Linked DNA regions of Sus scrofa. The protein of the gene in region 3 purifies or fractionates together with the protein of the main gene of each other region. This does not show direct contact. Links are inferred from orthologs where the notes say so. Each region holds a gene or a part of one and is shown on either strand. Other genes may lie near its edges.

The links. The genes of interacting proteins can lie anywhere in the genome.
Region 1: the proteins of CHTOP (region 3) and ERH purify together in Homo sapiens (affinity purification with mass spectrometry; 3 studies listed by BioGRID and IntAct, with this or other methods). This does not show direct contact. The link is inferred for Sus scrofa from reciprocal best matches to the Homo sapiens genes CHTOP and ERH.
Region 2: the proteins of CHTOP (region 3) and PRMT1 purify together in Homo sapiens (affinity purification with western blotting; 7 studies listed by BioGRID and IntAct, with this or other methods). This does not show direct contact. The link is inferred for Sus scrofa from reciprocal best matches to the Homo sapiens genes CHTOP and PRMT1.

The regions. Positions count from the first base shown.
Region 1 is NC_010449.5:93,070,735-93,073,980, reverse strand, and holds part of ERH (enhancer of rudimentary homolog), read left to right. Parts: intron 1-321; coding exon 322-442; intron 443-3,246. UniProt on the Homo sapiens protein: May have a role in the cell cycle.
Region 2 is NC_010448.4:54,721,870-54,725,517, forward strand, and holds part of PRMT1 (protein arginine N-methyltransferase 1), read left to right. Parts: intron 1-1,024; coding exon 1,025-1,180; intron 1,181-1,313; coding exon 1,314-1,377; intron 1,378-3,648. UniProt on the Homo sapiens protein: Arginine methyltransferase that methylates (mono and asymmetric dimethylation) the guanidino nitrogens of arginyl residues present in proteins such as ESR1, histone H2, H3 and H4, FMR1, ILF3, HNRNPA1, HNRNPD, NFATC2IP, SUPT5H, TAF15, EWS, HABP4, SERBP1, RBM15, FOXO1, CHTOP, MAP3K5/ASK1, MICU1 and NPRL2.
Region 3 is NC_010446.5:96,002,801-96,007,102, reverse strand, and holds the start of CHTOP (chromatin target of PRMT1 protein), read left to right. Parts: upstream 1-1,488; 5' UTR 1,489-1,798; intron 1,799-2,967; 5' UTR 2,968-2,984; coding exon 2,985-3,049; intron 3,050-4,302. UniProt on the Homo sapiens protein: Plays an important role in the ligand-dependent activation of estrogen receptor target genes. May play a role in the silencing of fetal globin genes.

The sequences.
Region 1 (3,246 bases), on a different chromosome or scaffold from region 3:
CAGTGAATAAAGCCAGCCATTGAACCCACATCTTCATGGATACCAGTCAGGTTCATTACCACTGAGCCACAACAGGAACTCCACATTGTGTCAAAATTTGAAAGTAGAATGGGAAAGTATTCATTTGTCATCCATTATTCTCAAGTGTGGTGTTATTTAAAAATTTGCTAGTGGCAACAACTACAACACAAGTGGTCAACTTAACTGTTGTTTTCCCAGCCCAAGTTTATAAGAGGAAATACTATATAACCATATAACACCACTCATATCTAAAGTTCATATAATTATAAGGTCTTGATTTTTTTTTCCCTTCTCTCTTAGGTGTTTGTAAAATGTATGAAGAACATCTGAAGAGAATGAATCCCAACAGCCCCTCTATCACATATGATATCAGTCAGTTGTTTGATTTTATCGATGATCTGGCAGACCTCAGCTGCCTTGTGTAAGTATTAGCCACTCTACCTCTTAAATTGTATTTTTCTATTATTTGTTCGTCTGTTTGAGGTGACTTATGATATTGGGAGCTCACTGTGCCTGACACCGATCTTTGCATTTTGCCTAGAAGATAGTAATTAATATTTCTTATACATGTGGCTCATAAATTAAGTTGGCAACATAGAGCTGGACGCTAAAATCTTAAGAACTTTACTAATTGAAACAGTATGAATCAACTTTGCACTGAGAACTTGGTTCCTTAAACTGAATAATCCTTTTCTTAGTTTTTTTTCCATTATTGTCTTTATCCTAAAGCAGTTTGCTTTGGATTAAAACTAATATTCTTTTTTGTTGTTGTTGTCTTTTATCTTCTTAGGGCTACACCCGCAGCATGTGGAAGTTCCCAGGCTAGGGGATCTAATAGGAGCTGTTGCTGCCAGCCTATGCCACAGCCACGCCAGATCTGTGCTGCTTATGTGACCTACACCACAGCGTGGCAATGCCTGATCCTTAACCCACTGAGCGAGGCCAGGGATCAAACCTGAAACCTCATGGTTCCTGGTTGGATTCGTTTCTGCTGCATCCCGGGAACTCTCAATATTATTCTGTTTTCATGACTTTTTTTTTTTTTTTCTTTTTTTTTGGGCCACACTCGTGGCATCTGGAAGTTCCCAGGTCAGGGATTGAATCTGAGCTACAGCTGCTACCTCCACTGCAGCTGCAGCAATGCTAGCTCCTTAACCCACTGCACCGCAGCAGGAACTCCTTCATCTTTGTGCTATTAAATGTAAACCAGAAACTACATCTAGCATGCTAAAGTGATTTCTCATATTTGCCTTATTAAAGCAATACAAAGACTAATTATGTGTTAATGTACAACTATATATATTATAATAATTATTTATTATAGATAATTCCAGCTACAGTAGTTCAGATAGTATAAAAGAGAAATGAATGGTAACCTATAGTTTTTAATTGTCTGGAAAACTGTAAACTAGCTATTTGTTTTTATCTCTAATGTGAACTTTGGCCTCTGAAAACTTTTAGAATCAAATACATGGTTTAGGACCATTTTGTCCGTATGACTTTGATATTTGAATCAAGAGAGGTAAGATTTCCAGAATTATTTCTGGCAAGGTCTCCTATTGCCATGACATTTCCTATGACAGCACATCCTGCTCCTCTCCTTAATTAAAGATTGTGCACCTGGCCTGTTACTCTTCAGACAAGGAATTGAGTTCGTTTTTGGTTTGCTAATTGTTGTGGACTCGTTGGTTTTATTAAGTTTAACTGGCAGTGACATAGGACAGTTTTTAATTATTTTTAAACCAATAGAGAATGGAATAAATAAAAGTGTACTTTGTTAAGCCCAGAACAAACTGACCATGCATTAATTATAAAATTCATACACGGAGGATTTGTGTGGTTTATTTATTATTTTTTTTTTAGGGCCACACTCGTGGCCTATGGAGGTTCCCAGGCTAGGGGTCGAATCTGAACTACAGCTGCTGGCCTACACCACAGCCACAGCAATGTAGGATCCGAGCCGAGTCTGCGACCTACACACAGCCTATGACAATGCCGGATCCTTAGCCCCCTGATTGAGGCCGGGCCAGGGCTTGAACCCACAACCTCATGGTTACCAGTCAGGGTCATTACCACTGAGCCACGACAGGGACTCCCATGGAGGGTTTGTATTTCATATATTTGAAGCCAGAGTATAAATTTCTTCACGTTTCTCTGATCTGTAAGGTTTTTGGTTTTTTTTGTTTTAATAAGTTTTTTTAAGAGTAAGATAACAGCTTTTTGAAGATGTGGGCTTCTCTCATTTGCTTAGAGAGAGAGGGACATTTGCATCCTTGGTTACTTTAATGAGGAGGACCTCCTTCCTAATAAGGAAGACCATTTGGTATCAGTTAAAAAAAAAAGACCCCGGCTAATTTCCCTGCTCAGATCCACAGCTTCCATTCTTATGTAAACCTGCATTCATTGGCCATACACTAGGCTAAAATATTTATGCCAGCAGTTAGGGATTTTATTCATGTGTTTAACATTTAATTGTCTCATTTTCAAGTAGCAGTTAACATAAAGAAGGCATTATTACTACTTTAAGTTGGAAAATAGCATGCAAGCTGATGGATTCCTTAATGTTCACAATCCAAAGTGATCTTGGTTTGTGAACATTTAGGTCTAAATAAGGCTGTTCCACCCAAACTGTAATTCTGAAACATTTTGTTCATTTTTATATTCTTTTTTTTTTTTTTTTTTTTTGTCTTTTTGCCATTTCTTGGGCCGCTCCTGCGGCCTATGGAGGTTCCCAGACTAGGGGTCTAATCGGAGCTGTAGCTGCCAGCCTACGCCAGAGCCACAGCAACATGGGATCTGAGCCGTGTCTACGACCTACACCACAACTCATGGCAACGCTGGATCCTTAACCCACTGAGTGAGGGCAGGGATCAAACCCGCAACCTCGTGGTTCCTAGTCGGATTCGTTAACCACTGCGCCACGACAGGAACTCCCATTTTTATATTCTTTTCCAGTGTTAAATATTGTAGTCTGTTCTGCCATACCTGAAAGTAGACTAGATTGGCACTTGTTTAACTAGGAAGATGAACCAAAGGATAGTCAAAATTGGTTTACTTTTTAGGAGTATTTCTCCTTGGGAGTTCCCGTTGTGGCTCAATAGGTTAAGAACTGACTAGTATCCATGAGAATGCCGTCCTAACCCCTGGCTTGAGCTGTGGGTTAAGGACCTGGCATTGCTGCAAGCTGCAGCATAGCTCGAGCTTGGATCTGGCATTGCTGTGGCT
Region 2 (3,648 bases), on a different chromosome or scaffold from region 3:
GAGTCCAGACTGACTGACCGCTCCTAGGGCCCCTGAATCTTCACGGGGTTCGTGTTTGGTGGGGGGGGGGGGACTTAATTTCTAAGGCATGCGTGCTGCCGGGGAAGGGAGCGGGCAGTCCCTCCGCTGGCTACTCACACCCTGGGGGTCGACGCTCCCAGCTGTTGCCTTGGAGACTGAGGCGAGGCTGGCACTGCGCCAGCCGGGCCAGCTCAGGGGCGCGGGTGGGAGTGCGCATGTGCGCTGGGGACTTCAGCCCGAGGTCGGGGCCTGCTGGTCTCTGCCGCCCCCTAGTGGCCGGTGGTGGGACTGTCCGCCAGCTCCTCGGACTCAGAGTGCGGGCTGCCTCTAGACGTTTTTTTGCCTGCGGTGGAGGCTGAGGTCCCAGAAATCACCTAGGACCGGGATGTGTTTTTCTTTTCTTATTGTGATTAAAAAAAAGTGCATAACAGTTTGCCATTTTCACGTATACAGCTCAGTGGCATTAAGTTACTGAGGACTTTTTAAAGCCAAGGACAGCAGGGACTCAGGGCAGTGGTCCATCTGTAAAGATGGGAGTTCAGGAGTTCCCATCGTGGTGCAGTGGAAATGAATGTGACTAGTATACATGAGGATGCGGGTTCGATCCCTGGCCTCGATCATTGGGTCGGGAATCCGGCGTCGTTGTGAGCTGTGGTGTAGGTCGCAGACGCAGCTCCGATCCCCCGTGGCTGTGGCATAGATTGGCAGCTGTAGCACTCATTCGACCCCTAGCCTGGGAACCTCTGTGTGCCTCGGGTACGGCCCTAAAAAGCAAAAAAAAAAAAAAAAAAAGGTGGGAGTTCAGTCCATCCAGTCTGATTTTACAAATAGGGAGATGGAAGCACGTGGAAGGGAAGTGACTTGTTCAAGGGAGTCGAGGAAGCAAGTGCGAGAGCCAAGCTCCAGTGCTTCAAACGGTGCGCGTGTTGGAGGCCGGGGCACCCTGTTTTCCAGCTGGGGATGCAGGCTCCCTCAAGGTGTCTTTGTGCTCCCCCCTTCCCAGGAAATGCTGAAAGATGAGGTGCGCACCCTCACCTACCGAAACTCCATGTTTCACAACCGGCACCTTTTCAAGGACAAGGTGGTGCTGGACGTGGGCTCGGGCACAGGGATCCTCTGCATGTTCGCTGCCAAGGCCGGTGCCCGCAAGGTCATCGGGGTGAGTGTCCTGGGTGGCTGGGCGGGCCCAGGGACGCCAAGGGGACCTTGTGGAGCTCAGGGATTGGGAGGGGGTGGGGGCTGAGGGTGGCACTGGGGGGGTCTCTCACCCTCCCTTCTTCCTGGGCCCCCAGATCGAGTGTTCCAGTATCTCTGATTATGCGGTGAAGATCGTCAAAGCCAACAAGTTAGACCACGGTGAGCCCAGCAAGAGAACGGGCGTGGGGGGAGGGAGTGGACCATCCCCGCTTCCCTGGGGTCCTTGGCAAGGCGACAGGGGCCACTGAACTTGAATTCCTGCCTTCCTCCCCCATGGGCTCTGGGCCGCGGACAGCCCGAGAATTCTGCCTACTCAGAAATGAGCTGTCAAAGTCGCCAGCTTAGTGCCTCGATTTTTGGTGGTTTTTTTTTTTTTTTTTTTTTTAAAGGCAGAGCAAGAAGCAATCTTTAGGGAGTTACCTGGTGGTCCAGGGATTAGGATTTGGTGCTTTCACTGCCGTGGCCCAGGTTGGATCCCTGGTCTGGGAGCTGAGGTCCAACATCAAGTTGCTGCACGTTGCAGGCCAAAAAAATTTAGTAATAATTTCTTTTAAAAGAAAAACAGTCTGTAGTTTTTTCACTGAGTGGTAGAATTCCTTGGTTGACCCCTGAGGGCCCGGGGTGAGAAGCTTCCCGTCTGCCTCGCAGTTGTCCTTCTCGGGCTTCCGCCAACACGTCCTTCCAGAGCCGTCTGCCTCTATGAGCAGGTGGACTTGTGTTTCTACATTCACTGCATAATTTTTTATTTTTTATCAGGTGTGTATTTTTGACACAGATAAACTCAAGTTTTTTTGCCCTTTTTTTTTTTTATTTTATTTTTGCTGAAGTATAGTTGATTTACAGTGTCGTGTTAGTTTTAGGTAGACAGCGAAGTTGGATGTTTTTCTTTTGTCTTTTGTTGGCTGCCCCACACTAGATCCCTAACCCACTGTGCCCAGCGAGGATCGAACCTGTGTCCTGGTGCTCCAGACACCACTGATCCTGTTGCGCCACAGCAGGAACTCCAACAGCAAAAATAGATGTATACACCTTCGTCAGAGTTATTTTCCTTATAGGTTATTAGAAAACATGGAGTTTAGTTGCCTGTGCTGAGCAGTTGGTTGTCTTTTTTTTTTCTTTTTTTTTTTTTCCCCCTCTTTTTAGGGCCACACCCATGGTGTATGGAGGTTTCCAGGCTAGGGGTCCAGTCCGAGCTACAGCTGCCGGCCTACGCCACAGCCACAGCAATGCCAGATCCAAGCTGTGTCTGCAGCCTACATCACAGCTCACAGCTACGCTGGGTCCTTAACCCGCTGAGCAAGGCCAGGGATCGAACCTGCACTTCTGCAGGGACCAGAACCGCTACAGTCAGATCCTTAATCCACTGTGCCACAGGGGGAGCTCCCTACAGCAGCTTTCCTAACCAGATTCCTAGTGATGAGCATTTAAGCTGCTTCTGAGACTTTCATCCCTCCGCATGTACTGTCATTGCCATCTGATAGACGAACTGGTATAGCTGTGAGGTCACTTTTTGAGAGTAGGATTGCATGGGTCAAAAATGAGGAAGGAGGGATTCCCCTTGTAGCTCAGCGGGTTAAGAACCTGACATAGTGTCTGAGGATGCAGGTTCAATCCTTGTCCTTGCTTAACAGGTTAAGGATCTAGCTTTGCCAAAAGCTGCGGCATAGGTCACAGATGTGGCTCAGATCTGGTGTTGCTGTGGTCGTGGCCTTGGCTGGCAGCTGTAGCTCTAACTCAACCCCTAGCCTGGGAGCTTCCATATGCTGTAGGTGGGGTCATAAGAAGGAAAAAAAAAAATGAGGAAGGAGTTCCCTGGTGGCTCAGCAGGTTAAGGATCTGGCATTGCCACTGTAGTGGCTTGGGTCACTGCTATAGTGCAGGTTCAATCCCTGGCCCCATGGTATGGGTGTGGCCAGAAAGAGTAATGTGAAAAGGTTGGGAAGATGGTGGGTTTTCCAGACACGAAGTCTCTTGGCATTCTAGAAACTGAAGGGACTTTTTTTTTTTCCCAAGAGGCTGGTGTAAGAAAGCCTCAAGGACCCATCACATTAGTTTTAAATACCTCCATTTGAAGCAGGTTCCAACTTTGTAATAATACCTGCTGTTTGTACCTCTAAGGCCATTTGAAAACCATGACGTTGGAGTTCCCTGCTGGCACAGGGGGTTAAGGATCCAGGATTGGCAACTGCTGTGGCTCAGGTTTGATGCCTGGCCCGGGAACTTCCTCATACCTCTGGTGCAGCCAAATAAATAAATAAACAACATGACCAAACGATTATATACAGGCTGGATAAACAGCAAGGTCCTGCAGAGAGCCGTGTGTGATATCCTGTGAGAAACCATAAGGAGAGGGGACCTGGAAAAGAACAGGACTATGTATGTGTATAACTAAATCCCTTTGCTGTACCCCAGAAATTAATACGACACTAT
Region 3 (4,302 bases):
CCCTCCAACAGGGGCGCAAGAGTAGTGGGCCAGGCCTGCAACTCATCTTTCATTAAAGGCTCCTCTCTCACCAGCCACCAGCTGCTGTCTCTGGTCCTTCAGGGTTTGGAAATGGGTGGGGAAGTGAAGGCTGTTCACTCCCAAATTGCTTTATTTGGGGAGGGATCTTATTTTGGAGAAAGATCAAGGAACCATTACATCTTCCTACTTAAGGAATGCTCAAGGCCCAGAAAGGTAGAGGCTCAAGGTTCCAGCTGGAAGTGGCAGAGACATCAGCTTTTCAGCTTTGAAGCCAGAAAAATTGCCCTTCAACTTTCGAAGAATATGTGCTGAAGACCTACCCCGTGCTAGACATTGTGTGGAAACTGGGAATACAGCAGTGAGCAAAACAAACACAACCCTCACTGTCACATAGGTGAAGTCCAGTAAAGGGTGCCAAACCATTAAACATACACGTATAAATGCTAGGAAGGAAAATGAAAGGATCTCATGCGCCTTTAAGAGAGTGGAGGTGGAACTGAGGACATGTTCATTCACTCATTCTTCCAACATCTGAGCCTTTTTTTTTTTTTGGTCTTTTTTTGCTATTTCTTGGGCCGCTCCCACGGCATATGGAGGTTCCCAGGCTAGGGGTTGAATCAGAGGTGCAGCCACCTGGCCTACGCCAGAGCCACAGCAACGCTGGATCCGAGCCGCGTCTGCAACCTACACCACAGCTCACAGCAATGCCGGATCGTTAACCCACTGAGCAAGGCTAGGGATCGAACCCGCAACCTCATGGTTCCTAGTTGGGTTCCTTAACCACTGCGCCACGACGGGAACTCCCATCTGAGCCTTTTATTGTGTGCCCAGGTATAAGGAAAATGCCATATAGGTCTGCATCAAAATCCACATGGAAGCTAGATGGAGGGAGAAGACATTGGAATAGGTTGCGGGGACGCAAAGCTTCCCCCAAATAAGAATTTAACAATCTTCAGGCCAAATTGGGAAGGGAAGTGAAGAGAAAAATATGGACGGGCAGTGGTGCGTGGTGCAGGATCCAGTGAGGTGTGCTCCCTGCACTGGTCCCCAGGTGCGTTTATGGCAACCCACAACTCTAAAAGGGGCGTATGCTGAGGGGGGAGCCAGCGCAAATTACACCGGCCCGGTGGCTCTCGGAAGAAAGACCGAGTCATGTCGCGTAAAGAATTTTAGTCGGTCTGCCTTAGCTTTAGGGGTGGAGGGACCCGCAATGAAATACGAACTTCTTTTCTTAAGAGGACCAAATCCGCCTTGAACGTCCCAAATCACCAACTTGCAGCCGCCTTAAAACCCAAGAGAGAATATATTGGCCACGCCCCTTCCCGGGTGGGGCTCGGAGTGTAATACAGCCTAAAGCCCCGCCTTTTCCCTGGAGCTCCGCCTCATCCCCCGCGCAGGCGTAACACAAATTTTCCCGCCTCCTGCGCTGTGCGCAGACCTGACGTCTGACGTAATGGCGTCGACGCCATTTTAGCCGGTCCCATTCCGCACTGGGCGTGGCGGCCATTTTGTTTTGGAGAGCGAGCGGGAGTTGGCGGCAGCGGCTGTGGTGAAAGGCAGGAAAGGGCACGCCGGGCGAGCAGGCGAACCGGCCGACCGGACAGCCACCCAGCATCAACGAACTAACCTAGCATTCTACCGTTTAACACATACAACCAACCGCCCACCAAGTTAATCCGAGCCCCTCCACCGTCAACTCAGGTTCGGCCGGCCCCCGGCCAGCCTGTCGCAGCCGTGGTGGCAACCCCGGGAGGAGCACTGGCGTCCGTTTCCTTCGGTACGTTTCTGTGGTGAGAAGGAGGGCAAAAGTCTTGGGGAGCGCCCGGGCCCGGCGGTCGTGGAGTGGGAGCTGGTGGGATGTGGAAGCAGATTGGGTGTCGGGGAGTGGAGGCCCCGGGAGGGGGCGGAGCCCCTGAGAGGGAGGCGGGGGAGGCCCCGAGCTGGAAACTCGCTGCTGGAGGTTGGGATTTGGTAGGAATAGAAAGGAACATTGCTGGGCGGGTTGAGCAACGTTGGCGGTCCCGGACGGGGCTTTGAGATGGGAGTTCAGAGGAGGACTACACGGCTTTAGGGAACGTCAGAATGCACTGGCAGCTGTAGAGTTAAATTTTGTGGCGTGCTCTCTGGGATCGAACTCCCAGGTGAACGCCCATTTAGGAAACCTTTCCTACTCCATCCCTCCCCCACGTCCCCAGTCCCTTGCTAAGGTTCCTGCAAGACTTTGGAGTTGAAAGCCAATTTGTAAACTGGTAAACCTGTATCATCTCTCTAGAGCAGTGGTTCTGAATTTTGGCTGCACATGAGAAGCAGCAAGTTAGACACCACCCCCCCTCCCCGCACCACCTTCTAATTGCTGATCCCCAGACCTCACCAGCAGAGATTGTGCTTTAAATGGTTTGGGCCGAAGCTTCTGTATTTTGTGTCTGTCTTTGTTGTTGTTTTGTCTTTTTAGGGCCGCATATATAGAAGTTCCAAGGCTAGAGGTCGAATTGGAGCTGTAGCTGCCGGCCTAGACCACAACCCACAGCAACGCTAGATCCTTAACCCACTGTGCGAGGCTAGGGGTCCAACCCACATCCTCAAGGATGCTAGTTGGGTTTGTGACCGCGGAGCCATGAAGGGAACTCCTGTTGTTGTTTTTTAAAGCTCCTTGCAGCCAAGGTAGAGAAGGACCGCTCTAGATGAAAAGCCAAACACTTTCTTTGGCTAGGTCTAGGTCTGCCATTTTTGGAGGCTTGGGCAGGTATTTTCTGTCATGTGGCCTTGAAGTTTATTAATTCCAGATAACTTAGCTTCTAAATGTAAGCACCTGAAATGAGTTTTGGTGTGATCTTCAGTAGTCATTGAGACAGGCCTATTCATTCATTTTTGGTTTGGGCCTTTGGCCCTGTTGAAATGAGGTAGTCATCATTCTGATTTGCTCACTTTGCCCATTGTCTTTTGTAGATTCTCGGGATTTGAAGATGGCTGCACAGTCAGCACCGAAAGTTGTGCTAAAAAGCACCACCAAGATGTCTCTAAATGAGCGGTGAGGCAGCCAACAGCAACTTCAGCTCGTTCATAAGAAAACATTACTTAAGTTGGCCCTGGGTCCAATGCACAAAAACCAGTTTTAAGCTAAATACCAACAGAAGGCTACAGACCTCTGTTCTTAGTAGCATCTTATGTGGTACACAAAACAAATTGGGCGGTTGTTTCAAAACCACTTATCAGTAGATTTTTATGTTAAGCTGTCTGAAATATTTCTCTGGTGGGATGTATTTTAAAAGACTCCTCACACCCTCCATTTTCTTCACATTTTTTTTACATTGATACAGGGGTGGTGCAGCTTGGTAGCATGGAACCCCGGCTGCAGTAGGCTTGCTGCCCAGTCCAAGGCCAGCAGTGTTGTGTCTGGCCTGTAAGAGGCAGGTAGCAAGCTATGAATATGTCCAAAGGCCCTTGAATGTCATTCTTGGACCTTGTAAGAGGCACTTGCTTTGCTCCATTTCACTTTCTTTCCATTCTGCTTTTAGTTTGTTTTTGTTTTGGATTCTTTTGCGCTTAAGTGTTCTTCTCTTTCATTCCGTTAAATTCGACAGGAATAATAGAAGAGTGTCTTCACAAGAGCCTCAATGATTGAACTAATCTTAACTTTTCAGAAGTAATCAACTTGGAGTCAGAAAAAGTAATCATTTGAAACTAAGAAAAGTTAAGGTATTTAAAGGCACTTTCTGTCTCTGAGGGCCTTGTTCCTTGAGTGCCTTTGACAAATGATTTTATTAAGTTGCTGTTAAACATAAGATTTACTTGTGTTTGTCTGCCTTTTCTGAAGCATATGTGCTTCTTAGGGCACGTGGTACACTAATTCTTCATATTCACATGTTACTGCGTGAACCACTTATGAAAAAAATGTGATATACTCCTGTAATTTATGTGGATGTATCATTTCCATAGGCTTTGAAGGTGCTCTAGTCCGTCCTTATATACGCCCTTAAAATGCACCCTCAGGTCCCAAAGGATTTGGCTTGCTTTGTCTGTCTTTGAAACTACATCTTCTGTCTCTTGTCATCATATCTGCTTATTGCGTGTTTTTCATGCTTTCTATCTCTAAAAGCCGTTACCTGAGCCCTTGTTATCACTTTTGATTGAATGTGCTACACTTAGCTGCATTTCTGAGTTTCTGATTCTTGCAAGTTTGTGGAAGCGGAGGAGTCTTTAACCCACATCAGCCTTGATCTAAGTGTACCGCTTTACTTAAAGTTCGTGGGATCTGGAGCTCCTGGTCTAGCAAGCCATGAA